7 linked regions of the Callithrix jacchus genome follow. The protein of the gene in region 7 binds, or shares a complex with, the protein of the main gene of each other region. Links are inferred from orthologs where the notes say so. Each region holds a gene or a part of one and is shown on either strand. Other genes may lie near its edges.

Region 1 (4,290 bases), on a different chromosome or scaffold from region 7:
TGATTTCTGGTTGGGGATGCTTCCAAGGAGGAAAGCTTCTTCTTCTGTTTTTTTTTTTGTTTGTTTGTTTTTTTTTGAGACAGACTCACTCTGTTGCCAGGGGAGTGCAGTGGTGCAATCTCGGCTCACCACAACTTCTGATTCCCTGGTTCAAGCATTTCTCCTGCCTCAGTCTCCTGGGTAGCTGGGAGTACAGGCATGTGCCACATGCCAAGCTAATTTTTTAATATTTTTAATAGAGGCGGGGCTTCACCATATTGGCCAGAATGGTCTCGATCTCCTGACCTTGTAATCTGCCCACCTCAGCCTCCCAAAGTGTTGGGATTACAGGCATGAGCCACTGCGCCCAGCCAGAAAGCTTCTTCTAATAAGGGGAATTATGAGGAGACTGCACCGTGGCTAATGACAAGAGAAGGGAGAAGTGGGATAAGATGACATAACTACTCCCAAACAGGCCTAGAATCAGAAAATGAATGGAATCTCACATGCCCTTTCGCCAACACAGGCAGAGAGAGACATAGCAGCAAGTAGCTGCCTAAGTCCTAGTTCATTCCAAGTTCTCTTTTCCAGCCAGCTTCCTCAAAGCACTTTCCCACAAACATACTTTCCACCTATAGAATCTGGAGTTATGGATCAAGTACATGAGGAACAGCAAAGAAAATCAGCCACTTAACACACTGGGGGGAAAAAGTAAAGCTGATGAAGGAAGCAGGCCTGGAGCTTGTCTTTCTAAATGACTTACACCCCTGGTTGTAGACTAGAAACATCCAACAGAAAGACCAAGTTGAAGGAAAATTCTGAGGATGACTAAACCACTACTAATAAATACCTTTTGCCTGAGGAACCCAAAATGTTTTGTAAACAAATAAACCAATTCTGATTTTTTCCCCCAACCCACATCCTGCTACCAATTTATTACTGTACTGATGCCTATATAGAGTGGGCCATTTTCCGAAAGGATCACTCTAGAGGTCAAGTGAGGAAGTCACATGCTGAAAGCAGGAGTCCTGATTCTGGATGTATAAGCTCTTTCCATTGTCTCATGTTCCTTTTTCCAGCTACACCCTTACCCCTCTCCAGGCCTGGGATCTTATGGAACCAACCAAAACTATTCTAGTAAACCACAGACATTAAACTGATTCCTCGTGGATCTGGACAGGGGTGGGATGGCACTCTATTCTGTAATTCCTTTAACAAACGCCTAAAATTAAATAATCTGCAACAAGATTCCTCATAATCTCATTCAGTTTCCAGGCAGGCCTGTTCATCCCTCCTAGTGGCTGCTCCTGAGTTAGTCAACCAAGTGTAATCTGATAGGGAAGGCTTCAAAACTTGCTCCAGCCTTCAGAAGCACCCTTCTGTTCTGAACAGCCTGAGGCAGCTGAGGCTCCCCCTGCTCCCAACACATTTTTCTTCTCAGTTCAAGGTTTAGTTGATCCTGAAATGAAGTATTATGTGGAGAGAAAGAGTGTAATAGAGGATGCATGGAGACCACAGGGAAATCAGAACCAAGTACACACCGATCAGCAAAATCCTTGAAACTCGAGGGAGGTGTCAAAGCTGGAAATCCCGAATGGGAAGGGCACTCAAATCTCTCCCCTACAGACAGAAATCTCCAGAAGGCTGGGAGACTGAGGAGGGAGAAAGAGAAGATGAAGAAAGTTATAGGGATCATAATGCATACCAGAGAATAGTGAGGACTAGGCTTGTAGTAAGAATGTAAATGGTGGGCCTGGCGCGGTGGCTCACGCCTATAATCCCAGCACTTTGGAAGGCCGAGGCAGGTGGATCACGAGGTCAAAAGATCGAGACCATCCTGGTCAACATGGTGAAACCCCGTCTCTACTAAAAATACAAAAATTAGCTGGGCATGGTGGCGCGCGCCTGTAGTCCCAGCTACTCGGGAGGCTGAGGCAGGAGAATTGCTTGAACCCAGAAGGCGGAGGTTGCGGTGAGCCGAGATCGTGCCATTGCACTCCAGCCTGGGTAACAACAGCAAAACTCCGTCTCAAAAAAAAAAAAAAGAATGTAAATGGTACTTTGGGACTGATGACAAGGGCCCGAGATCCCTTAAGGAGAAGGGAACAGGCAATTCTTGGAAGCCAGGAGCTGGCTGGGTGGGTGGGTGACGGTGAGGTAATGGAATCAGAAGCAGCACAGGAAGACAGGGATACAATCTTTAGCTCAGGGAAATGGGAACCCAGTGCTGGGGTTGCACAGGGACCTCGGAGGAAAAGGGCAAACTAGGAAAAGAGATAAAGGTGGAGTCCATGGAAGAGGTCTGGAGCAGGGGCAGAGACGACGAGGAAGGACAAGGATGGGCATTGTGGAAATCGTCTGATGTGGAAAGGGTTCATGACTTAAAAAAGAATAATTCCAGACGTAGGCAACAGGGATAAGAGTGAGGGAGGGGGGAAATCCCCGAGGCAGAGGGAGGAGCTAAACTGAAGAGGAAGCCAAAAAGCAGAGGAGGACCCCAGGCCTGAGAGGAGAGGGTGGAGAAGGAATCCGGAGTGCAGCTGACACCAAGAGGGCTGTTTCGTAGTCGAACTCAGGTGGGGAAGACTGTGGGGGACAGAGTGGGAGAGGGACACCCCCCCCCCCGCGCAACAGGGCAAAGGTGACTCATGGAGGAGAACTAGCTTACCTCTGGGGGACCCCCGCGGAGGGGGTGCGGGCAGTCGGGGTCGGACTGCCGACACCGCCGCCTCAGCAGCAGCGACCGCTCCCGGGTTCCATTGGCCGCCTGCGCTTCCCTGACAGCGGCCGCGGCGGCTGCACCAGGCCCCGGCTGCGGGGCTGCCCGCGGCGCCGCCTGAGGGGGCCTTCAGGCTGCCACAAGTTCGACCGGGCGACACAATCTCCTCTTCCTCCCTCAGTACAACCAAGACCAAAACAATAATAAAATAATATAAAATAAAATTCCCCAGAAGGTCTCGATGTACGATTCTTCTCCTGAGTCCAATCCCTTCTTCCCAGGATATGCTTTCCTGCTTCCCCAACGCTCAGGACCCTACCGATCCCATAGTAATCTAAGGAGTCGGGTGAGCTGCCCGGAACATGCCTGTTCAAAAATAGAAAAGGGGGCGTGGAAAAGATGTTTGGAAGCTCGCGAGGGAGAGCGAAGGGAGGAGCTTATGGGTGGGAGGCGGGGCCGATCTTTAAGAAGAGGACCTAACAGCTAGCGTTTGCGAGGCTGCAGAAGCCGAGAGAGAAGTAGAATTTGCTGCATAAGTAGGGTGAGCAGGCGGGCGTGGGTGCCCTGTTAGAGAAGCATGGACATATTGCATACTTCCAGAAGTACATTAACATTCAAATTTTATGTAAATGACCGTTTGAGTTACCAACCGAGTTACCGTAATTACAATCAATGACTTCCCCATCCCCGATGCAACAACACTCCCTTAGCAAATCAGGCCGTGGGATAGACGCTGGGTTCCCAGAAGGCCGCAGAAAGAGAGACGGCGGACGGGGAAGATATTCGCCCTCACTGCCCTTTTCCTACTCATCTTCGAGGGCGATGAGGAGATTACGCCCCTTAACGCTTCGGGAATGGCGCGGTCCAACCGTGTCAATCTCTCGCCGTCAGAGGCCCGACTCGAGGGCGTGGTTCTGCCTCCTAGGTCACCACCTGCCGGGGCAGCCGGTGGCCTCCAGCATCCACACGCCGAGCCCTCCAGGGAGGGGCCGGACAGGGCCAGGTTGGGAGAGGTGAGTGAAATGACAAAGGCTTGGAGGGCACAATCCCTTCTTCCAGACAAAACGAAACTGTGTTAGACCAAACAAATAAACAAAAACACGCCATGCAAATGGGCCTCTGGTGTTGCTTTTGTGTATTTTGTGTTTGTTTGTCTTGTAAATGTTGCCTTGCTATGTTGCCCACGCTGGTCTCGAACTGCTAGCCCCAAGCAATCTGCCGGCCTCAGGTACCAAAGTGCTGGGATTATAGGCCTGAGCCACCTCGCCCAGCCAGTTTTGTGTAATTTTCGCTTAACATTGTTGATTTAGAGCCCTCTTTGTCTTCAGAACCTCTATCTCAACGCCTTTCCTAGAGCTTTACTTAATATGCAATTCAGGCCCCCTCGTTAGGGCCTTACATAATACAATGAGGCTAGTTATTTGAGCCCAGGTTGTGAATGCCATCTTCCCTGCCACTTACAAGCTGTTTGATTTGGAATAACTAATGTAACCTCTTTGAACCTCAGTTTCTATGTCTACAAATAAAACATATGAAGTAATATTAATACAAGGGGGGAGGACCAAGAGGGCACAAGTTACTACTATAGTACT
Region 2 (3,570 bases), on a different chromosome or scaffold from region 7:
TTTTGTTGTTATTGAGTTGGTGAGTTCCTTAACCCTTTATCAGACATATGCAAATACCATCTCCCATTCTGGAGACTGTCTCTTCACTCGGTTGATCATTTCCTTTGCTATGCAAGAGCTTTCTAATGTAGTCCTATTTGTTTATTTTTGCTTTTGTTGTTTGAGCTTTTGGTGTAATTTCCAAAAACTCATTGCCTAGACTAATGGCAAGTAGCTTTTCCCTTATGTTTTTCACTAGGCGTTTTATGGTTTCAGGTCTTATGTTTAAGTCTTTAATCCCGTTCACTTCGGTATATTTGCTAAGATAAGGGTTAAATTTCATTCTTTCGCATGCAGCTAGCCAATTCTCCCAATGGCATTTTTAAAAAAACTTTCAGGTTCAAGGTTCATGTGCAAGTGTGTTGCATAGATAAATTACATGTTGCGGGGGTTTGGTGTACAGATTATTTCCCCATTCACATAATAAGCACAGTACCCGATAGGTAGTTTTTTGATCCTCTCCCCGCTCCCACCCTCCACCATCAGGTAGGCCCCATGGCCTGTTGTTCCCTTCTTTGTATCCATATGTACTCAATGTTTAGATTTCACTTATAAGTGAGAACATGTGGTATTTGGTTTTCTGTGTTAGTTTGCTTAGGTTATTGGCCTCCAGCTCCATCTAAGTTGCAGAAAGGAAACAATCTAGTCCTTTTTTATGGCTGTGCAGTATTCCATGGGTGTATACATCACATTTTTTTTTTCAGAGGAGAGAGAGAATAAACAGAAACATGAAGCAGGCTGCTGACACCTCAGGCCTTGGAGCCAGACTGTGCATGTTCAAATCCCAGCTATGTCATGTGTTAGCTATGCAACCTTAAACCAATAATTTCATCTCTTTGTACCTCAGTTTCCTCATTTGCAAAACAAGTACCACAAGCAAGGGTCTTAGAACAGTGCTTGGCAGACAGTGAGTAGTCAATAAATGTCAGCTAAAGGAAGAGGACAAATGGCTTTTACCTTTGAACACACATTTTCTTTATCCAATCTGCCACTGTTGGGCATTTAGGTTGGTTGCCAACACCATTTACTGAAGAGAGTATCCTTTCTTAGATTTTGCCCAACTGAAAATATAGGCTGAATCAAGATCTGCATGAACATGAAGGTCGCTTATTACAAAGCCTCATGAACGAATGCTTTTGGAACTCACTAAGGGGGCAAAGCTTTGCTTCTTTCAAAAAAACTGACATGAGAAAACTTTGAAAATAAGAATTGGAACCACAGCTTCCTTTTGGCTTTGCTAAGCAGAGAACTTAAATAAATTGCTAATCATTTATAATTACAATTTCCAGTCAGAAAATTTCTGATCTTTCCAGTCAGGAATTTTCATTCCTTTTAAAAATATATATATCTTACCTGGTCCTGTATTTTACAATTGTAGATGTGTTAGGTTTATTGAGATTTTCATTGTATGTGGCTAGGTAGATCTGAGAAAAACTAAAAACTCTACTCTGAAAATATTTTAAAGATAAACCATAAACTATTAGGAAAAATAAGATAAAAACATACAGAAAACTAGACTGAGTTTTACTGCAACTGAGAATTCAATAATCACTTTTTTATCTTTTAGGTATCCAAAGGCAAAATAGCAATATATGTAATATAAGTTGCTCTGTGACCTCACATTCCAGGGAAGAAATATCCAAATATTACCAAGAATTGAACTCCAATTCTTGGCTAAAGTTTTGTCAACTAATGAAACTTTTCATTGGATGCTGGAGAATTTGAGGGTGAGGATGGTTAGAAATTAGAAATTGGCATTCATATGTTTCTTAGCTTTCTAAAGGCACATTGTTGGATTTTAGTTTTGCTGCAGATATCACTTGACATGCTCCGTTGACATTCACCCCAACTCTGCTCACTTCTGTTATTTATGTCCTAGCTCCATACTTGCTGATGCTACCTATAGCATAGAGTTACCATGAGAAAAATGTTTCAAACTCAAGACACCAATCTCTTGCTGCTCGAAGGAATACATGTGAATTAGAAAAAAGATAGTGAGTAGGAAGGAAGGATTTGCTTACACTGATTACTTTATTCTTTCCGATTATGCCTGGAAGCTAAAGGTAAAACAGGAAACCTAATGTCTTTATCTTTTTAATCAGACTTCCAATATAATTTCACAATTCTAAGTATCCTATATTTGCTGGGCACTAGACTCATGCCAAATTGAAAGTAAATTTAATGCAAAAGTGAGCAATTCCCAGTTAAATTTCAGTTACTCAAATTGTAAAATTTTTATAGCACAAAGTACATTTATGAAAATGAATGCTATTGCAATTGAGTAAGGAAGGAAAAGGAAGAAATTGGGTAGTTAAAAAGAACATAATTACTTAGAATATCTCCCTCTCCTCTGAATATCTAAACTTGAACATAAAAGCACTAAAAAGCATTCGCTTACTTATCTTGAGCTACTTAATATCAAACTCATGCCTTACCTTGATAACACGGAGCTATTCTTTTACTCAGTTCTCCTCGTAAATCGGGGGGTATTCCATAGCAACCACCAGTGGGGAGCTTATTTTCATTCTTTATGTAAAATATATTTTTCCATCTATGCCCACAAGTCTGAATAAAATAAAAGTAGACCAAATGACGTGAAAGCTGCACCCAGGATAGCTGGTTTCACCATGGATTGGTAGATCAGTTCCAATACCTACCACGATGGATCCATTTTCTCCTGGCTGTCTCGAAAGTGTGACCCCCAACCACTGATTGTCTCTCTCTTCCAAACAAGTCTTTCCACAGGGTTCTCCATTAGGGCTACCTACAGCATTTGAACATAATTTTTTCATCAGTTGTCTTGAAAACATTCTACAAAAGCAGAGAAAATAAACTGTGCACTCATCCCCAGTACTTTTCCATTAACCAGTTCTCTAACATCTTATACTCAGTGCACAATGTGAGGATAATGAATTAGTCTATGCCAACATTCTTCCTTTCTAATACAAGGTGGCTTTTGTTTGTAGAAATGACCTCTAACTGATAGCACCATGAAGAGACAGACTCGATCATACAGGAGACAGCTACCAGGACTAGGAGTGGGGAAAACCAGTTAAAGCTAATACCAGGTTGTGCAAGTACAGCTGCTGTGTCTAATGTTTCGAAAATAATTAACCATTTATCTAACAATATAAGCAATATTATCAGGGCACTTTTAAAAATGTTTCTTCTACTGAGATATCAAGAATAGAAAGACTATAATACATCCTCAGCAATTATGGTACAATTTATTGGAGCTAGAAGGTGATGATTAAGCATGTGGACAGTGAAACATGGAATTAGCATACCAATGATTCCTTGCCCTATGTTTCCATTTATTGGAATATGATTAAATTATTTAGAAAACAAGATTATTTCAGTAGTTAATAAAGAAAATTTCAACAGGCACTTTGGCAAATCAGGAATAGCCAAAGTCAAACATAAAATACTCATGCACTATATAGTACTTCCATACTGTATAAGAAGAAGTGGTCTTCATAGAAATCATTTTTGTTAGCAAAAATTCTTTGTGTTATAGCTGGGTTCCTATTA
Region 3 (4,076 bases), on a different chromosome or scaffold from region 7:
CGTCCCCCCGAGGTTCCGCCATTAACAGATCCCCAGTCTTGACCACCGCAGTGGCCCCACTAAAGCGCCAACACATTTCAAAATGGAGCGAAATCGCAGAAGCGAGGACTGCGCTTTGTTCCCAGCACTGGGCTAAACGCGCTCACCCTCACCGGGCTCCCTTTCCTCCAACGACGGGAGGTGACGCCTCTGCTCGAGAGACGGCAACAGGCAGCTGTGACTGCGGGCTCCCTTTTTCCAAGGCCGCCCCAAGACCCTCGCTCCATCTGGAACGAGAATCCCGCGCCCAGCTCTGTCTGGGGGCGAGGGAGGAGAGGAGATGCTTGAATCGATCCCTAGCCGCTCTGCAACCCCTCGCGGCCCGCCCAGCCACGCGGGGAGCCTCGCAGCAACCTGGCTCCAGCCCTCGACGCCACAGTAGAAGAACGGTCGGCTTGGTCCTGGGCGGGCTCTCGTCCCCTCAAGCCAAGCCATTCCTCAGAAATTCAGATCAACCTGGGCGCCCCAAGTGGAGGATTCAGCCCCTAGATGCTCATTCGTTTCAGAAGTGCGTCCCCCGCACCAGTTTTCAGTGATATAATTACCCAGAAAACCGCACGTACCAGGTTCATCACAGGAGGTCGAGGCTCAGATTCGTTGGCCAGGAGTTCCCCCTGCCGCCCCAGACTCGGTTTTGGGGGTGCGGTGAACTTGGACTCCGGTGAAAATCCCGCATTTCAGATAAAGAATATTAATCAGTACGGCCATAATATTAATAAAAATACACCTTGGGCCACTTATCTGCGTGTCTGCGGCCGCCAGGGGCCAATTAGAAAGAGCCAGAGGCGCAGGGATTGGGGGCTTCCTCCTGTGTCTTCCAGAAGGCTGACTGGACGCAGCCCCGCCTACCCCAGGGTTCCCAATCTCCTTGGGGAAGGGGTGGGGCCAGCCCCAAGGTCCCCTCTCCAGACGCCTGTTGTTCCCATGGCAATGCCCCCTTCGCGCCCCCTCAAGTGGGCTCAGAAAGATGGGTGTGGCCGCAGCATTAGGCACCTTATGTCCCCGTCCTCACATTCTCCCGCCAGGCGAAGCAACAGGGCGCAAAGCTGGAGGGGCCCCGCCGGGGCTCCCCACCCATCCCCGGATGGGTAGCCAGCATCCCTCGCTGGGCAACCTGATGTGTCGTGGTCCTCAGGACACTTGGGGTATAGGGAAGGGCGCGATTCCACTACCGCCGCCCGCAGCGCGCGCAGAGACTCGAATTCCACCCCTTCAGAAGCTTCCTGGCGCAGACAGACTCCGAGACGAGGCTGCGCGCGGTCACGCCCGTTCCAGGCGTGCCGGGGGTTGACTCAGGTTCATCTACCCCAGCAAGCCTGGAGATCCAACAATGGGCTCGGAAATGAGGAGCGAAAAAAGGAAAGAGAGGTGCGTGGGGGTAGGAGGGAGGTTGGCTAAACACCCTCAGAATAAAAGCCAGAAACCAGGACTGAGAGCGCAGATCACGTAACCTCTACAGACAAAGCAGAGCCCCCGAAGGAGGTGCTGGGTGAACGCTCCCAGTGCTCATGCCCGCAGCAGCAAAACGCCAAGATTTTAGAGCCGATTGTCCCCTTCCCTTTAATGCCAGGCCCCGCCCTGTCCTCCGAAGCCTGGCCACCCGGTTTGGCATGGCACCGCAAAGACGTGACACGCCGAAAAAAGATGGCACCTCGCGTTCCGAGGGGAAAAAACGGGGGTGGGGGCGGGAGTGGGAGGAGGCACAGACTATCCTCCCCCTTCCTCGCCCACCAGGGTCCACACCCACTGCCGCAGTGAGGGGCGAGCCCTGCGCGCCAGCCCCGCGCCTCCGGCAGGGAGCGCACACGCCGGGAGTCCGGCGTGTCGAACGCTAAGAAACCCGCCCCGAGATGCACCTGCAGCCTCTGCGCCCGTCAGTGCAAGGCTGCAGCTGTGCCTTCCCGCGAGCGGGGATCGGCGGCCACCGAGTCCATTCGTGTCGCCAGGCCAGGTGACCCCCGTCTTTGCGAGCGTGCACACTGGGAGCCGCGCACTGCTCTCAGGAACGTCGCTGCTCGTGTCTCTGTGCCAGGCGTGCGCAGGGGGAAGGGCAGCTAAAGTGACAGCGCCTGGACCCCTCCCCATCTCCTTGATTCCTCCCAGCCCCCAAATGTCCCCTACGGGTTTCTGAAGGAGGAAATGGGGAGGGGGTCGGCCACCATCTAAAAGCAGGGGCAGTGAAGGCCTTGTCGGAACCACTGCTAGGGAGGGGCAGGGAGGGGCATGCAGGGAATCATCTTTTCTAGAACCCGATCCGCATCTTCTTTAGGGCTGACGGCGAAAAGCGGCAGGGACAGCGGATTTCAGGTTCGGTTTTGGGGGTCGTTATTGGACCCCTACACACACACACACTGCGGCAAGAGGCTGAGATCGAGAGTGAAGAGTAGCCCCCTCCCCGAAGTCAACGCCGCCGCGCCCCACCCTGCGAGCACAACCTCCACCTGGGGTCGGGGCCAAGCGGGAGGTGCGGACCCTCCAGCACACTCCCGCGTGCGTGCAGCCCTTGCTCACGTCCCTTTCCAGGCCGCCCCGGCCCCAGTCCCCGAGCAGCGTGAGCAGGGAGGGGCCCTGCGGTAGCCCTGACTGATGCCCGGCGCACGAAGCCCCCGTCTGCGGCGGGGGAGGGCTAGGGGCGGCGGCGCGGGGGTACCCAGGGGCTGACGGCGAGGCAGATTTCGGAGCCTCGGCGCTTACCTGATAGTCCACAGAGGCTAGGACGGGAGAGGACCGCGGAGGAGGAGAAGGTGGCTGTGGTGGCGGCGGCAGAAGGTGGGCGGTAGCAGCGGCGCTGCTGCTGGTACCGGAGCTGGTGGGTGGCGGTGACTGCGAGGGCGCGCGCCGGTGAGAGGGCGCGTTCCCGAGGCCGGCGGGCGGCGCAGGCGCGAGCAGCGGGAGCACGAGCTTCCCCAGAGGAGGGGGCGGGCAGCGTCCGCTGGCGCCTTCTCCTCCGGCCACCAGTAGGCGCGCGCGAGCGCCCCACCGCTCGGCCGTCCCGCGCCTCCGGGCTCGCTCCTCTCGGCGCTGCCCTTTCCCGATCCTCCTCCCGCTACGCCTCAGGCCGCGGCGCTGACCGCAGCGCGCACGCGTGTTCCTTGGCGCACGCGCACTCTCCGCCTCCTGTAGCTGTCGTCTTTGTCTCTTCGAAGGGGTCCCCTTCTTCTAGCCCTGGGGGTTCGGGGCAAGGCCAGTGGCTCCGCCCGTAGGTCCGCTGCCCCTTTCCTTTCAGTCAGCCTGGGGCGGTGTCCTCTCCTAGAGATGTCCTGAGCGGGCTTCCACGTGGCCGGCCCCCAGTCCGTCCACCCCGACCCTCCGGAACCCGAAACCTCTCCCTGGCTGAGGTCGCTTTCCCCCGGGCTGCTTTCTTTCTCCTTGCTCTTTTCCCACCTTTTTTGTTACTGACCAAGGTGAAACTTCCTTAACAAATTCACTTAAAGCAAGCTAATTCAGTTACAGTGCAGTAGAACTGTACTTTTAAAAAAAAGCATTTGAATCTGTGATGTATCTAACCGTGACGCTAGAAACAAAAATCATGAATTAGACGAAATTCAAATAGTGCCTAGCACATCGCAGAGCATTTGCACACTCACGGTTACTTGTATCACGTCTTTTGAAACACCTTCACACTGTAAGTAGAGCTTGAAGTCTGAATGTTTAAGGGCCAGCTAGAGATTGTCCCCTGAAATACGCACCTCAGCCTGAAACTGAGGTGGTTCTCATTCTGCTGATCACTCAGGACCCAGGCTTTGGCCTTAGCTTGCAGTTTTCATTTCCCCAGCATCAAATTTAAGCCCTGGCAGTGGGAGGATTTCTATGTATGGGGGTTTAGGGCAGCCATCTCCTCCTAGGGAGATGGGAGTTGTCTTGAAGCTCCAATTTGCATAGCTCTTATATGCTTTTTAAAAAACCAACGTATGTTATAGATTAATAGAAAAAGCAAGTAAAGTGCATTTTTCACACTTGAGTTTCTGGAACTGACCATATATATATATATCCATATAAATTTTATTTTTAAGCAGAGGGGCATATACCCAAAAAAG
Region 4 (3,570 bases), on a different chromosome or scaffold from region 7:
TTCTTTCTTTCTTTTCTTTTCTCTTTTTTTTTTTTTTTTTGCTAAATTTCTCTCTATAAGAAGAACTTAACCCTTCATGAGAATCAGCATGATGAAGTGATAAGAACCTAGAGTGGAGATCAGGTTTGAAATCTCACATACCCTCCCTATTACTGTTGAGCAGTCTTGAATCTCTTGAGTCTGAGCTTCCTCTTGGCTACTGTTACCTTTTTGGAAACACTTGGTCTCCACCCTCTCAGGACTGCACTACAGGCAGCTCAGGGGCTGCATTGCCTAATTTCTCAGGAAGGCTCTCTCCCTCCCTCTTGTGAGTCAGTTAGTCACTTCCTCTTTCTGAATTGAAATCCTGTGGTTATTTATATTGTGGCGTAGGGGAGTCAACAACAGAGAGTAAACAGTAAAAGAGGGAATTCCTCCTCCAAATGGGAAGTGATTAGGCTATGAGTAAGAATCACAGAGAGGTTGGGCCAAGGAAATGTTTAATAAAAAAAAAAATCTTGCTGGAGTTACTGTAGGCCAACCAGGAGAGAAGTAATCACATGAAAAGAAAAACAAATAACAAGTTGAGACTTAAAAAAAAAAAACTTCAGTGGCATTAAGCAGGAGACTAACTAAGCAAGTCATATAAATACAGGAAGAGAAAAGAGCCAAATAAAATTCTGTAACACATTTTTCAGTGAGCATCGAAAGATACCAATACTGGCCAGGTGTCGGGGCTCACACTTGTAATCCCAGCACTTTTGGAGGCCACAGGTGTATTGCTTGAGCCCAGGAGTTTGAGACCAGCCTAGGCAACATGGTGAAACCTTGTCTCCATCAAAAATACAAAACAAATTAGCTGGGCATGGTGGTGCAGGCTTGTAGTCCCAGCTACTCGGGAGGCTGAGGTGGGAGAATCACTTGAGCCTGGGAGTTTGAGGTTGCAGTGATCGGTGATCACACCACTGCATTCCAGCCTAGGTGGCAGGGCAAGACCCTGTCTCAAAAAAAAAAAAAAGAAAGAAAGAAAAGAGAAAAGATACCAACATTACTGTGTGTGAGAACACCAACTGAATTTCTCTCTCACATTATGCTCAAACTCAGCAATTATTATTTCTTTAATTACATGAGATCTGTATCATCATTGTAAAAACATACCAGTAAAAGTTTCAGTACAGGGGTTTATGCCAGCAAGCCTCTTTGATGTCCCGAAGTCAGAGATCTTGAGTACACCACTGTAGGTATTAATCAGCACATTGTCACCCTAGAGAACAGAGGACTTTCATCACAAATGTTATCTTTCTTTCTTTTTTTAATTTTCTTTTGTTTCTCTTTTTTTCTTCTTTTTTTTTGTTGCACAAATGTTATCTTTCTTCAGATACTGTCTGTTGTTGACTTGGTAAGTCCAATTTTTAAAAAAGCTGTCCTTACAGCAACCAATGACACTAATTCTGTATTCTTCATTAGTAGTTGATCTCAATAGTGAATTTTTGATACTGTTTTTTGTTTACATATTATCAGTGTGAAACCACCTTTGCAAAAATTATAACAGTGAGAAAATGATGACAGTAAAAGAGATATGATCTAACAACCACCATCTTGCCTTAAATTTCCAAACTGCCCTTGGTCATTCCAGGGTGTAGACCAAGCTCACTTGGGGAAATTTAGTTTATAGTTTAGATGATAATAGCCCTTCCCCAAAACTAAACCACCTTCATAAACCTAAGGAAAGGCAACCAGGTTAGGAGGATGAGAGGGGCCTAAAGTCTGCTAAGATGCAGGCATAGTTACATGATTATCAGCTCCTTATTCTGGGGGTCACAAGATTTGCAACATCCCCAGTTGTTTTCATAATTGACATCACTATTGTAGATCCTAAGACTGGCCTTTTGAGCTGTCTTTTCAGGCTACTCCATATCTGACTACCAGATGGCATTACCCAGACCTGTGACTCTGGACTCAACCATTACTGTGGCCCCCACCCAGAAGTGGACTCGGTGCACAAGAACCATTTTCCACACACCTATGATTGCATCCTCAACCAGTCAGCAGCACATGTACCCTAGCCCCCTGCTCGCCAAACTATCTTTGAAAAACCCTAGCCTCTAAATTTTGGGAGAGGCTGATGTGAATTATTATAAAACGCCAATATCTGGTTTTAGCCATCTCTATGTGTATTAAACTTTCTCGATTGCAATTCCTCTGTCTTGAGAAGTCAGCTCTATCTGGTCAGCGGGCAAGATGAACTCATTGTGTGGTTATAAGTTCTTCACAATCTGTTACTCAGATCACAAGACCAAATATGATTCCTAATTGGTTAGAGCTTGCTGCTATTTACAGATATGTAATGATATATGCATAATTAAATTATGATTTTCATAACTTTCCAATTACTTTACTTTCTTTTCTATGGTTCTTTACTTTTTCTCCTGGAACATGTAGGGACACTACAGATAAATGGGCATTTTGGTTGATTTTAGGGTAGTAATATTAACTTACTTTCAATAGTCTAGACTTTGTGAAAAATGTATTTGTTCTGAATTTTCTTTTTAAAAAGAGAATGTAAAGTTATTATTTTAATTTTAGAGAATCTATACCTTATAATTATAGTTCAATCAATGAATATGTGATACTTGTGAGAAAAGAGGAATTTTTTTTTTCTTCTAACCATTCATCCATTGATTCATTAAGTATTTACTGAGTAGCTACTATGGAAAAGGATACAAAGATTAACCAGCCTGTAAGCTCCTCAGGACCAGGGCCCTGTTTAACTTTAGACAACTGCATCCCACCCTGCGGAGCCCCTAGGAAGCATCATATAGTGGGAGCACAATCTTGTTGGCTGAACAGTTAAGCAGTTTGTTCCTTGAGCAGAAGTGATAACACATGAACATAAAGAAGTGATTCAGGGCGGAATTATAGCTTAGATTTCTGCTGTTTCTAAGAATTACTTATTCACCATTCTAAATTAACATTCATAACACAATATGACTTTTGCAAGTAAAATAATAACCCAGCAAAGAAAGAACTCATGAAAACGAATCCTGGTGCACCCCACCTTTATGTCTCGGTGAACTATCTGATTGTCATGGAGATACTTTAATCCTTCCAGTATTTGCTTTGTATAAAAGCCAATTGTTTGCTCATTGTCTTTTAATGGACCCCATTTGGAACGGAGGAGAGCAGAAAGACTTCCTGTAAAGTAGGAATAAATAGTAAATAAAACCTCATTCAAATGAGCTCTTTAAAGAATATTAATAACGTAACAGTAATTTGAGCTAACAATCATTGGTTCTTCACAGTGGCCCAGGCCCTGTACTAGATATTGGGCTCAAACATAAATTTGCAAATAGCCCTGCTCTGAAGAAGCTTGCTACCAAATGCGTCTAAGTAAAAGGCCAGTGTCAACTGCTAACCTTAATTCAAGCCAAGATGATTGGTACTGAAATGGTTCCCATATTTACGCACTGTCTCTGCGAAATTACATAATTCAAATGTAAAGCTTTTGGAACTTTAAATTATTTAAGCCTTATTATTATTTAAGGAATGTAACTTTGTGGCCTGAGTCATGCAGCGTGCAAGTTGTAATTT
Region 5 (3,570 bases), on a different chromosome or scaffold from region 7:
TGGCGCAGCAGGAAACAGGAAGGAACCCAGGACGCAAGTCAAATCCTACTTCTGCTAATAAGTTGTGTGATGTGAGAAAGTTGCTTCGTCTCTGAGCCTCTGTTTCCTCACCAGGGCCGTGGGGATAATATCCCCTATGTCCCAAGCTGGTGACAAAGCAGCAAGCTATCTTATGTGACAAGGTTCTAGCATGGCTCTTTCAAAGAGTAAGCACTGCGCTGTGGACCATGTCAGAGGGTCCCAGTTCACAGCTATCACTTCCTTCACCACCTAACTCCAAAAATATTGCTTTCCTTCTGCCCTGATAGATCTTTCCTTAAATTATGTCTAAGCTTTTGTAGACTCATCTTGTCTCCTGGATTGTGAGTGATCTTAAGGCATGGGGTCCACTCTCCTCCTTCCTTGGTGTTTCTCTTCACCCAGTACTGGCTGGTCTCTGCCCAGAGACTGCCTACAAAATGCGCAGAGTTACTAATGTGAGCTTAACAAAGGCTTGTACTCAGTTCTTGGCCAAATCTGGTATTCACTTTCTAGGCTATGGGAACAGACAAGGTGTTTTACAAAGCAGGGATTGGGGGCAGGTAGCGGGGAAGGGGATGTACGGGTGGCTGAGGGAAGGGCAGGGAGCAACTTACCTTTACACTGCAAACCCTGCCGCAAGAGGCCCCAGAGCAGGGAGCCACAGTGATCGCAGAAGGTGGGGACCTTGTAGTTGTGGATGCCGAACTTGTGGGGCATGTTGACGCTAAACCGCTGGGAGCCCACCTGCAGAGACGGCAAGACACAGGGTCACCACTGAGTGCCTCTGGGCCCCAGATTGTCATTGGAGCTCTCACAGAACTTCTTTCTGAGCGAGCACGTGTGATTGTAGGTGGCAGGCCCTAGCCTGGCTTTGAAAGCTGCCCTGAGGTGAAAGAGCCTCCATCCTGCCCCAGCCTTGGCTCCTGACACTCTTAACTCAGTGATGGCTGCTCTATTTGACTGTGCAAGGCAGGGCCTGCTCCCCAACGCAGTCCCCTCCAGGACTTCAGGACTTTAAGCAATCACAGTACACTGTCCTCAGTTTGTACCTCAGACTGGGTGCAGTGGCTCATACCTGTAATCCCAGCACTTTGGGAGGCTCAGGTGGGCTGACCACCTGAGGTCAGGAGTTTGAGACCAGCCTGGCCAACAGGGTGAAATCCCATCTCTACTAAAAATAGAAAAATTACCCAGGAGTGGTGGTGGGCACCAGTAATCCCAGCTACTTGGGAGACTGAGGCAGGAGAATCACTTGAACCCGGAGGGTGGAAATGCAGCCAGCTGAGATTGTACTATGGCACTCCAGCCTGGGTGACAGAGCAAGGCTCTTTGTCAACAACAACAAAACAATTTGCACCTTCAATGCTGCTGTGTGCCTGGAAGCCCCACTTAGGCAAAAAGTCTCCAGGCAGCTCAATGGTAGTCATGGGATTCTGTGCAGCAGCGTGTAAACCGCGCACAATGTGGAAACCGGATCTGTTAGGATGGACAACAATTAGGAGGAAGATGGCCAGGACAGAGGGATGAGTGCTAGGAATGCTAAGGTCTCAGCGCTGACCACATGCCAGGCACCATGATCTCAGTTAAACCTCCCCACCACCCTACAGGGCAGGCCCATTGTTAACCCAACTTCACAGCAAAATCAAGAAACATGTGGGTAAACTGACAAGAGACAAATGCAGGCTTCCATCCCCATGAATCTGCATTCAGAGCCCAGGCTTTTTTTTTTTTTTGAGATGGAGTTTCGCTCTTGTTACCCAGGCTGGAGTGCAATGGCGGGATCTTGGCTCACCGCAACCTCCGCCTCCTGGGTTCAGGCAATTCTCCTGCCTCAGCCTCCTGAGTAGCTGGGATTACAGGCACGCGCCACCATGCCCAACTAATTTTTTGTATTTTTAGTAGAGACGGGGTTTCACCTTGTTGACCAGGATGGTCTCGATCTCTTGACCTCGTGATCCACCTGCCTCCGCCTCCCAAAGTGCTGGGATTACAGGTGTGAGCCACCATGCCCGGCCAAGTCCAGGATTTTTAACCACTATGCTGCCTCTCATGGAGTATTTAAAAGGGTTAAAGAGATGGTGTCAAGACAGAAGGGGAAGGAAGGGAGAACAGAAGTCCAGGTGTGCTCCTGGGGGCCTGGGTCTGCCACTACCCACCCATGAGGTCTCAGGCAGGTTTCCTGACTTCTCGGAGACTGGGATTTCTCATGTGACAAATAAGGATGGCTGCTCACTCCCATTCCACCCAGCGTCACAGGACGGCAGGTCAATGAGACCACAGGGATGGAAGAAGCTAGAAGCATAACACATTCCATGAAGCAAGAGTCTGCTGGCTGCCTTTCTGGGTCATCTCTGCCCTCCACAGTGCTATCCTCCATCTATCTTTAGTGGAGCAGCTGCACCCCTCAGCCCCTCTCAAAATCAGCAGGAGACCATCACCGGAGACATCCATAGGCTGGGGAGAAGATCACTCTTGCTATCCCAGGGATTAGGAAGTGGCTGGCATGCAGCAAAGAAGCTGGGCCTTGGCTCCTTGGCTGACTGGTGAGTGACAGGCCCCCGTGGGGGACTAATGAGTAGTGAAATGCGAGCTGGCAAGGGAGCATAAAGGCGAGCATGGAGACATGGCTGCGTGTCTTCATGACATTTCCCTATCACCCAGTCCCACGGAATGGCTGATCCCTCCAGTGGACAAAGATTTTACTGATCCCTACTACTGAAGTGGATGGTCTGCCACTTCGGGTCTTGCCTGGCAACATGGATGTCAGCTCTGTTGAAAACAACTGTACTCACCCATCCTTAGATGCGCAGCTTAGGCATGCCTGTTTGTGGATGTAGACATGCTGACTCTGCCACGGTCTGCCTCACTGCTAAGGACGTATGAGATCACTGTGCTCACTCTATTCCTATATAAACCCTGAAGGCGTGGTGGACCCCTACTGAGAACAGAGTCTTGGTCTCCCAGGAATCGCCTCATAGGGGTATGAATGACAGACTAAGGTGAAAAATGGGGAACTTGTCCCAGATGACCAAGAAATCAGTGTGCGGGTAGATAGAGCTCAGTTGGGAAAGAGCTCAGGACCCTCAGTTGGGATGACTAAAAACTGTAAGGTATCACAGAACAGAGGGAGGAGGATGAAGGAGGCTATACGAGAGCATGCCACAGCATCAGATGGACCAAGAGGCCAACACGGAGATGGCATGCATGCAGGGGACACGCCAAACATGTGCTAGCTGAGGAGGACACAGATACAGTTGGGTGAGCGAGATTCACAAAGAGAACACGGAGAGGAAGAGAAGGGCACAAGGAATTGTGAGATTAAAGAAAAAAAAAGGTGACACCAGAGGAGACAGAGCATTCTTTGGTGACCACACCAGGAAGTGCAGGCAGGGTGGGAGTCTGCCGTGTGCTACGGCACCACGGCCATGAGACAGGGGGGACCGGTCGAGTATTCGTGGTGCAGAACACTCAGGAAGCCCATCATCAGATCACCTTTTGATAGGAGGGAGGGCATTAAGAGCATGGTGTTTAGGACTACACATGTCTGTG
Region 6 (3,570 bases), on a different chromosome or scaffold from region 7:
TAATTGCTTTTGAAAATATCTCAGACCAGGCTGAGAAAAATCTCCCACTACTATAATGTATACCTCATTTTCTCCTTACCAACATACTGAAACAGATATTGTTTTTTCTTTAATGAGGCCCAAAGTTTATTGGCAGAGGAAGATCTTGACCCCACATTCTCTATCCTGGGCAAAGTGAACACAGACTTGATTTCTCCCTTGAGTCCCTAGTATTTCCCAGGTACTTACTTCTCTATTTGCTATTTGAGACATGATACGATCAGAATTCAAAGTACAACTGCAATAACGCTAATATTAATACTAATAATGTGACCAACTCATAATGTAGCAGTTTTCAAAGACTCTTCCCAGATATCAGAACATTTGATTCTCACAAGATCCTAGTAAGATAGGAAGAGATTATTATTATTATTATTATTATTATTTTTGAGATAGGATCTCACTCTGTTGCCCAGGCTGGAATGCAGTGAGGTGATCTTGGCTCACTACAGCCTCCAGCTCCCAGGCTCAAGCAACTCTTCCACCTCACCTCAGCCTCCCGAGTAGCTGAGACTATAGGTGCCAACCACCACACTCAGCTGTTTAATATTTTTTGTAGAGAAGGGGTCTTGCCATGTTGCCCAGGCTGGTCTTGAACTCCTGGACTCAGGCGATCTGCCCTCCTTGGCCTCCCAAAGTGTGCAAATTACAGGAATGAGCCACCTCACCCAGCTGAGATTATTATTTCTATGTCACAGGAAAGAAGGTGAGACTCAAAAGGATTACAGTGTCAAGGGAAGAGCTGAGACCCAAACCCTGACATTTGAGCCAGATAACTGAAAACAAACCAACAAAAAACCCAACTGTTTGGAAATAGCAAAGGCAATAAGACGTAAAAATAAAAGTATATTTACCCAGACAAAATGCTGAGATTTCTAGAATCACCAAGAAATTCACCCAGTGGAGTTCTAGAGACATCTGGACAGACGGTAAAGGAAGTGTCTCTCTCCAGGAGCAGGTTTAACATTTTCCTTTGATTAGACCTAAAACTGGGTCCTGAGCCAGAGCTTCCTTCCTCTTTTACGGATGAGAAGAGTTCTGTAGACATGGTCTTCGAGTTCTCACAGGAGAAAAACAAAACCTAGCTAAGAGGAAAACATCATCTATATCAGTACATCACAGTTCCCTCAGCTTTCCCAAACTCCTCCACCCTTTTCAGTCAGGCGGACCAGCACTGGAGGAGGGGCATCCTCGAAGGGTGATTCACAGAGTGGCTTAAAGGTTAAACAGCACTTGGTCGAAGCGGCTTGGCTTCAGGTTACAACCTGAATTCACTGACGAGAGGCAACCTTAGGACTTTAAAGATGGAATAAAGAGAGGATCTTGACTCGTTCCACGCGACACAGCTCCAGACTCCTGACCAGAAGGAACCCGAGTCTGGTAACTCGCAATAATGCCCATTCGGCCTTCCCAACCTCCGTTTGTGGGGGCCCAACTGGACCCTAAGGGGTCAATGGAGTCTCCATGATTCTGCGGCGGAGACCACTGCGAATTTACCTCAAGCTTGGAGTCTGAGGCCTGCCGTCGGGAGGAAGGAAGGTGGGTAGGGGTCGGACACAGGCGGAGACTCGAACAGAATAAAAGGAAATCTGGAGAAAGTAGACAGTTAACTAAACCGCAACTCTGCCTCCCAACTGGGAGGCCAGCGTCGGACTCGGCGGCTCCCCTGAGCAGAAGGCCGAAGTTACAGCCTCGGAGCAAAAATACCAACAGCCACAGGCGTTGACCATTCAAACCTTCCGCCCGCCCAGTAACTTATCCCGGCTCGCCTCTAAGCTGCGTCAGCCAATCTCCGCGCTCGCGCCCAGACCCTCATGGCCAATCATTGGGCTCGCACATCACCCGGGGGCGTTGCTTGCTCTGGAAGTGGAAAGACTTGCCCCGCCCCATAACCAGAGCAAGATAGCGATTGGCCCACCAGTGCTGAGCAAGGCTGCGGGGTATGCCCGCCTTAAGGGGAGCCTGACGTATCATTGGCTCTCCCTCTGAGCAATCGCCACAGCGTTTCTGTTTTCTTCGTTTCCCTCCACCCCACGAACCCCGGGAGATTTAAATCGCGCCTGGCTAGCAATGACCATTCCCCTAGGATAATACTAGGAAAGACTGTTTTGGGTGTAGGATGTTTTAAGCGTTTCATTTTCATGGCTTCTTTCTTGTGCCGGCGTTTTCTTCTACGTTTTGCTGGCCTTCCACGAAAGATGGAGCATTTGCTGCCGGTGTGGCAGGTGTTGGGGCAAGACAGGTGTGCGTGTTTATGATGAGAGGCATTGGCCTCTTCCGAGAGCTTTCCTTATTTGGTTTCTTTCAGTGTGCAGCATCTCAGAGACACTATTGTACGTGGGTAAAAAGAAATTCCGTTGCAGGGAAGTGAAGGAATTAAATCATCCCGGAATAATCCTTATCACAGTCCAGAAGACCTCAAAGTTTGATTATTAATGGAATTTTTGAACAATGACTAAGTGGTGATATTTAGAAATTATTGACCGGGCGCGGTGGCTCACGCCTGTAATCCCAGCGCTTTGGTAGGTCGAGGCGGGCAGATTACATGAGGTCAGGGGCTCAGGACCAGCCTGGCCAACATGGTGAAACCCTGTGTCTACTAAAAATACAAAAATTAGCTGAGTGTCGTGGCACACAATCTGTAATCCCAGCTACTTGGGAGGCTGAGGCATGAGAATTGCTTGAACCCGGGAGATTGAGGTTGTGCCACTGCACTCCAGCCTGGGCAACAGAGTGAGACTGTCGCAAAACAAAAACAGACATTCCTGATGTTAGGGATTTGCTTTTAAATAATCCTGTGCTGGGGGAGGGTATTGATGATAGAAGATTGACCCTGAGTGTTGAGCAATAGGGGGCAGGAGGATCCATCATATCTGCGTTACTCAACATTTAATGTGCACACTAACCACCTGGGGACCTGCTAAATGCAGATTCTGATTCAGGAGGTCTGCGTTGCAGTTGTGGCCCAAGAATCTGCCCTTTTTTTTTTTTTTTTTTTTTTTGAGATGGAGTTTCGCTCTTGTTACCCAGGCTGGAGTGCAATGGCACGATCTCGGCTCACAGCAACCTCCGCCTCCTGGGTTCAGGCAATTCTCCCGCCTCAGCCTCCCGAGTAGCTGGGATTACAGGCACGCACCACCATGCCCAGCTAATTTTTTGTATTTTTAGTAGAGACGGGGTTTCACCATGTTGACGAGGATGGTCTCGATCTCTTGACCTCGTGATCCACCTGCCTTGGCCTCCCAAAGTGCTGGGATTACAGGCTTGAGCCATCGCGCCTGGTGATTCTTCCATTTTAACCAGCCCCCTGCTGATGGTGAGGTAGCTGGTCCTAGGACCACACTTTGAGTAGTAAGATATTATCTAATACTCCTTACTTCAGTGTATATTTAAAAATTTCCATAATAAAAATCTTCCAAAAATAACCTTGGAAGCTCTTTAAGATGTAGGCTCCAAAAACCATCATTCAATAGGTCTAAAGTGGGGTCATTATCAAGGCCCCCAGGTGCTACCTATGTAGACAACTTGGAG
Region 7 (4,235 bases):
AGCTGCCTTAAAAAACTACCCCCAAAATCTCAACTCAATTCCAATACCACTAAGTGATATAAAATTAAGCAGCTTTTCTTCCTTTTGTAAACGTACTGCTTACAGAACATGTGGATTTCTATCATACTTCCAGAATCGTAAGTCAGTTTAATGTAATTTATGTCTTTTAACTTTCATAATAAGGAGTGATTAAATTTTAGTTTTCCCCTCATTCCAAATCTACTAGATCTCTGTAACATTTGCCAGCCGTAATAGCATAACACTTTAGGGGAGGAATAGCCAAACTGCTTGTTCTCAGATATTTTTACTGTAAAGCCACCACAAAGGACCAACATCTAACCGACCCTAATGCCTCAACTCTTTATCGTGTTGTATGTCCACATGCTTTAAAAATACCCACGAGTCATGGCCCTTCAACTATTACTGTGAGTACTAAAATACATCACATTGGAAGTGCTTAATTTACAAGTGTTTGCAATGTCATGGCTCCAGTTGCAATGTGTAAGTGCCGCATCCTGCTTCTAGCTGTCACCGTCACAATAACTGCATGCTATCACTCAAGCTGTCCTTTGCCGTGACTACCCACCTAACTCCTTCCCTCACATAGTTTCCTAGACCTTTTCAATTTACCTCAGCTACATTTTTCTGGAAGGACATCCTTTTCAAAGTTGCTAAACAGCACAAAGACACTAATCCACACAGTGAGACCGCAGAATAAACGACTTTAGAGGAAAATATACACATAAATGAAGTGTATATTTTAAATTAGAAGGTGAACAGAAGAGCTATTCTGACCCACCCACCTTGGGAGCTGACTCCCGAATATTAATTACCTTTTACCTTCCCAGGGAAATCCCACAATACTTTTTTAACCAAATGAGAGAACATGTCCTCACATTTTAAGCAAGTAATTAGCTAATTTGGATGCAAGGTACTGGCTCACCCATAAAAATTATTTAACCTTTATGACGACATGCTTTTCCTCAGGTCTCTCTATTATTAATTTTTCCCTTAGGAACTGAGACACGCTCTCTGGCTAATTCTGCTTCTAACGAAAAATGATTTCAAACCAGCACAAAGGATTCTCTCCCCCACTACTTGGGTACAAGAGGAAGTGGATAAGGTTTCTCACACAGTAACGATGGCTCCAAGGCCTCGCCTCTACACTGCGGGCAGGACTCACCGCACCCATTTAACCCTTACCTGACTTGAGACATCGGTTAGGGTGAAAAGAAAACGGGCAGACCCGGACTTTAAAGTGCAAATCCTCGGGTCCGCGTATCTGCAACCACCCCCCTCCAGGCTCCGCCCAAGCCCGAGCCTCCGCTCAGGTCCCCGACTCTCCTCCTTTGTCATGGCGGATCTGTGTCAGGGAGCCCAACCTACTGCTGAGTGTTAATTCCCCCCCCCACCGGAGCAAGGGGGAGGAGCAGCCGGCGCCCCCGCCCCCGCTCGAGCCGTGGGGGGAAGCCAAGCCACCCGACCCCGGGGCAGAGACGCCAGAGACGCCCGCAGAAGCGGAACCACTAGCAGCCTCACCGCGGACACACCCCGCCTTCCCACCCAGCGCTCTCCCCGCCACCGATCAGCGCCGGTGCCCGCGTGCACCGTCCCTAAGGGCCCGACAGCTGCAGGTGGGGGAGGGGACGAGAGCCACACCCAGTCGAGCGGGCCACCGGCGGCCGCTCTGCTCAGGATCACTGTGCGTCCCCGAAGCGGCGGAGGGACCCTCCAGTTCTAGTGACTCCGGCGCGAGAGCCTATCGCGGGATCCGCACCCCGCTCTACCCCAACCTGGGCTCACAGCCCCAGTCCGCGCCTTCCCCGACGGTTCATAAGGAGGAAAGAAAATCATCCCCATCCCCATCCCCCGTCCCCACCGAGAAAATTCAAGCCCTTCCCCCCACCGCGGAGCCCAGGAAATTCAGCTCCAGGTCCCAGGCGAGCCCCACCCCACAGCCTCCCCCCGCAGTGGGCTCCCTTCCCGCCGCCGGGCCGGGCCCGGGCTCCTGTCCGCTTCCGCCAGGCCCTTCCCTCCCGCCTGTGTCCCCGAGGCCCCCGGCCCCTCCCCGCCGCGCTACCTCCTCCCGGGGTGGGGGAGGGCCGGGTCCCGCCACCGCAGCGCCCAGCGCGGAGGCTGCGCGAGGGGGAGGGAGAGCGGGGGAGGGAGAGCGGGGGAGGGGAAAGAAGGGGCGGCCGAGGGACAGGGGAGGGGGCGGCCTCACCTGCGCCCCCGCGATGCCCGCCGCCGCCGCCGCCGCCGCCGAGTCATTATCTCGGGCGGAAGCGAGAAGGGCAGCGAGGGCGGGGGTAGAAGCAGAAACAAGGGTGGGGACGAATCGCGGCCGGCGGCGCCCCGGCCATGCCTCGTCCGGCTTCGGGAGCAGGCGACGGGGGATCCCCGGGGATCTCGCGTGTGGGCGCCCTCCCCACCCCCGGGAGCGGGACGGGGGAGCGAGCACCGATCGGGGCCGGGGCGGCGACGCGGAAACCAGGCGCGGGAGGCTGCCGCTAGCCGCCCGCCCGAGCCCAGCGGAAGAGGAGCCGCCGCCCGTGTCTGCCGGGGAGACTCCGCCTCAGCCCCGCGCCGCCACCGTGGGGCGAGCGGGGATGAGGGGACCCGGTGAGGACGGCTCCCACGCGTTCAGAAGGCTGGCCTGGGACAGGAGGAGCGGGGAGCGGCGGCGGACGGGTTCCTCACCTGTGTCCGGAGTGGGTGGAGGCGGCGGACGGACAGGGGCTCAGCAGTCTCTGGGCGGCGGCGGCGGCGGCAGCGGCGGCAGCGGCGGCGAGGCTGAGACTCTGTCCCTGGATCTCGCTGCTCACAGGCTACAGCCGCTCCGCAGACACGGGGTTTCCTCCAATCACCAGCCCCGGCAGCAGGGGCACCACACGCACGATGACGTCAAACGCTGCTATGGCAACCGTTGATTAGTGCCCACAGCGATCTGGGCCTCGCGCAACCGCCGCTCCCCGGCGCGCGTCCTGCCCGCCCGCGCTGGAGGGCGAGCGGAGGAGCGCGCGTCCTCGCCCGCTACGGCCACTCCCCCACCCGGCTCGGCTCCCAGGTCCTCTACGCTTGTCCGGAGTGCACCTAGGCGGGAAGCTTCTGTTTTTCTTTTCCTCCCCAACGCAGATCCCCCCGACTCCTCGCCTTCCCCTTAGGTCCCCGACGTCCTCTCCCCTGCAGCCTCCACCGGCCCACTCTACCTCTGAGCCTGTGGGAAGGCAGCTGTCTCCCTACCCCTACCCCCACGTTAGCTTTCGCTCAGCCGGTCTGCGCTTGCGCCAGTCACTCCTCTCACTCCTCTGGAAGGGGCTCCAGTTCAGCAACATCCGGGACCTTTCACATCCCCCCCACCCCGCCCCCCTCCCCGAGGCCCGGCCCGCCCTGCCCTGCCCTCGGTGCTTCGCGGTGGTCACTGTCCCAGGGCCGTCCCGGGGCAGGATGACGAGTGTGGGTCGGCGGCTCCGGCATTGTGATCAGGACTTGCAGGGTGGGGGCCCTGGGGCGAGGACAGGGCGCGGTCGCAAGGCAAGGGAGGGCTGTGTGTGGTGTGCTCCCCTTGCTCGGCTGGGTCGACCAGGGGGCGCGGCCGCTCCCTGCTTCCCTTACGCCGCCGCGGCTTTACCTGCTGGCTCCGGGGAAGTGGCCCTAGACCTTTTATGGCTCGGAAACGGGAGTGTGGCTGAGTGATGGGGAGGTGTTCCAATCGGGAGCTCGGGATCTGCGCTCGGTGACAGCGAGAGGGGACAATGGGTGGGCACCGAGATGGGGCGAGGTGGGCCGGGCCGGGCGGAGCCGGCGGGAGGTCAGGCCTGGAAGGAGGCGCGGCCGCTTTAGGGAAGCCAGAGTGCGGAGGGGAAAGGATCGCCTTCTCCGGTGGGGGGCTGGAGCTGGTCCTGGCACAGCTGACCCGGAGACGAGCAGTCAGGCGTGACCGCACGGGCCTGTTTCTCGTAGGCTAGGTTTTCCTACCCAAATAAAGCGTTCACGTGAAGAGCTCACACTGCAGTGATTTAAAACGTGACTATCATTACCGTTTTGTCTTCTAAAAGCAAGCTTTGAAGGACGTCGTAGTCCCCAGGGCCCCAGCTGGCGATGGGAGTGGGCCACAGGCCGGGCGACGAGCGGGGACAGAGCCCGGAAGAGGGGGAAGGAGAAAGGCGGAAATTGCAGGTGCCTGAACCGGTAGGGCCTCCGCCCAGTTGACTTAAGGAAGTTCAGAAACACAG

What was found.
Region 1: the proteins of YWHAZ (region 7) and PI4KB are in contact, whole or in part, in a crystal structure (PDB 5NAS), measured with the Homo sapiens proteins. The link is inferred for Callithrix jacchus from reciprocal best matches to the Homo sapiens genes YWHAZ and PI4KB. Residues at the interface, in NP_001129171.1 of Homo sapiens: Asn42, Ser45, Val46, Lys49, Arg56, Phe117, Lys120, Arg127, Tyr128, Gly169, Leu172, Asn173, Val176, Tyr179, Glu180, Leu216, Ile217, Leu220, Asn224, Leu227, Trp228; in NP_001317650.1 of Homo sapiens: Lys290, Arg291, Thr292, Ala293, Ser294, Asn295, Pro296, Lys297.
Region 2: the proteins of YWHAZ (region 7) and ITGA4 are in contact, whole or in part, in a crystal structure (PDB 4HKC), measured with the Homo sapiens proteins. The link is inferred for Callithrix jacchus from reciprocal best matches to the Homo sapiens genes YWHAZ and ITGA4. Residues at the interface, in NP_001129171.1 of Homo sapiens: Lys49, Arg56, Lys120, Arg127, Tyr128, Glu131, Gly169, Leu172, Asn173, Val176, Tyr179, Glu180, Ile217, Leu220, Asn224, Leu227, Trp228; in NP_000876.3 of Homo sapiens: Arg1007, Gln1008, Tyr1009, Lys1010, Ser1011, Ile1012, Leu1013.
Region 3: the proteins of YWHAZ (region 7) and MAPT are in contact, whole or in part, in a crystal structure (PDB 8QDV), measured with the Homo sapiens proteins. The link is inferred for Callithrix jacchus from reciprocal best matches to the Homo sapiens genes YWHAZ and MAPT. Residues at the interface, in NP_001129171.1 of Homo sapiens: Glu14, Leu43, Ser45, Val46, Lys49, Arg56, Arg60, Lys120, Arg127, Tyr128, Glu131, Gly169, Leu172, Asn173, Val176, Glu180, Ile217, Leu220, Asn224; in NP_058519.3 of Homo sapiens: Ser637, Cys639, Gly640, Ser641, Leu642, Asn644, Ile645, His646, His647.
Region 4: the proteins of YWHAZ (region 7) and MAP3K5 are in contact, whole or in part, in a crystal structure (PDB 6EJL), measured with the Homo sapiens proteins. The link is inferred for Callithrix jacchus from reciprocal best matches to the Homo sapiens genes YWHAZ and MAP3K5. Residues at the interface, in NP_001129171.1 of Homo sapiens: Val46, Lys49, Asn50, Arg56, Lys120, Arg127, Tyr128, Glu131, Gly169, Leu172, Asn173, Val176, Tyr179, Glu180, Ile217, Leu220, Asp223, Asn224, Leu227, Trp228; in NP_005914.1 of Homo sapiens: Ser964, Ile965, Ser966, Leu967, Pro968, Val969.
Region 5: the proteins of YWHAZ (region 7) and PRKCE are in contact, whole or in part, in a crystal structure (PDB 2WH0), measured with the Homo sapiens proteins. The link is inferred for Callithrix jacchus from reciprocal best matches to the Homo sapiens genes YWHAZ and PRKCE. Residues at the interface, in NP_001129171.1 of Homo sapiens: Asn42, Ser45, Val46, Lys49, Arg56, Lys120, Arg127, Tyr128, Gly169, Leu172, Asn173, Val176, Glu180, Leu216, Leu220, Asp223, Asn224, Leu227, Trp228; in NP_005391.1 of Homo sapiens: Lys365, Ala366, Leu367, Ser368, Phe369, Asp370, Asn371, Arg372.
Region 6: the proteins of YWHAZ (region 7) and CDC25C are in contact, whole or in part, in a crystal structure (PDB 5M36), measured with the Homo sapiens proteins. The link is inferred for Callithrix jacchus from reciprocal best matches to the Homo sapiens genes YWHAZ and CDC25C. Residues at the interface, in NP_001129171.1 of Homo sapiens: Lys11, Glu14, Gln15, Glu39, Val46, Lys49, Asn50, Arg56, Arg60, Val61, Ser64, Lys120, Arg127, Tyr128, Glu131, Gly169, Leu172, Asn173, Val176, Glu180, Asp213, Leu216, Ile217, Leu220, Asn224, Trp228; in NP_001274511.1 of Homo sapiens: Gly210, Tyr212, Arg213, Ser214, Pro215, Ser216, Met217, Pro218, Glu219, Asn220, Leu221, Asn222, Arg223, Arg225.

What each region holds. Positions count from the first base shown.
Region 1 is NC_133519.1:11,221,554-11,225,843, forward strand, and holds the start of PI4KB (phosphatidylinositol 4-kinase beta), read right to left. Parts: upstream 2,814-4,290; 5' UTR 2,648-2,813; intron 1,632-2,647; exon of another isoform or gene 1,521-1,631; intron 1-1,520. UniProt on the Homo sapiens protein: Phosphorylates phosphatidylinositol (PI) in the first committed step in the production of the second messenger inositol-1,4,5,-trisphosphate (PIP). May regulate Golgi disintegration/reorganization during mitosis, possibly via its phosphorylation.
Region 2 is NC_133507.1:47,594,382-47,597,951, forward strand, and holds part of ITGA4 (integrin alpha-4), read right to left. Parts: intron 2,804-3,570; coding exon 2,697-2,803; intron 2,605-2,696; coding exon 2,475-2,604; intron 1-2,474. UniProt on the Homo sapiens protein: Integrins alpha-4/beta-1 (VLA-4) and alpha-4/beta-7 are receptors for fibronectin. They recognize one or more domains within the alternatively spliced CS-1 and CS-5 regions of fibronectin. They are also receptors for VCAM1.
Region 3 is NC_133506.1:86,636,290-86,640,365, reverse strand, and holds the start of MAPT (microtubule-associated protein tau), read right to left. Parts: upstream 2,867-4,076; 5' UTR 2,734-2,866; intron 875-2,733; exon of another isoform or gene 603-874; intron 1-602. UniProt on the Homo sapiens protein: Promotes microtubule assembly and stability, and might be involved in the establishment and maintenance of neuronal polarity.
Region 4 is NC_133505.1:143,406,006-143,409,575, forward strand, and holds part of MAP3K5 (mitogen-activated protein kinase kinase kinase 5), read right to left. Parts: intron 3,175-3,570; coding exon 3,038-3,174; intron 1,244-3,037; coding exon 1,138-1,243; intron 1-1,137. UniProt on the Homo sapiens protein: Serine/threonine kinase which acts as an essential component of the MAP kinase signal transduction pathway. Plays an important role in the cascades of cellular responses evoked by changes in the environment.
Region 5 is NC_133515.1:68,787,668-68,791,237, forward strand, and holds part of PRKCE (protein kinase C epsilon type), read right to left. Parts: intron 766-3,570; coding exon 636-765; intron 1-635.
Region 6 is NC_133503.1:36,746,500-36,750,069, forward strand, and holds part of CDC25C (M-phase inducer phosphatase 3), read right to left. Parts: intron 1,785-3,570; exon of another isoform or gene 1,537-1,784; intron 1,125-1,536; exon of another isoform or gene 1,121-1,124; 5' UTR 1,088-1,120; coding exon 894-1,087; intron 1-893. UniProt on the Homo sapiens protein: Functions as a dosage-dependent inducer in mitotic control. Tyrosine protein phosphatase required for progression of the cell cycle. When phosphorylated, highly effective in activating G2 cells into prophase.
Region 7 is NC_133517.1:96,015,721-96,019,955, reverse strand, and holds the start of YWHAZ (14-3-3 protein zeta/delta), read right to left. Parts: upstream 2,833-4,235; 5' UTR 2,701-2,832; intron 1,355-2,700; exon of another isoform or gene 1,204-1,354; intron 1-1,203.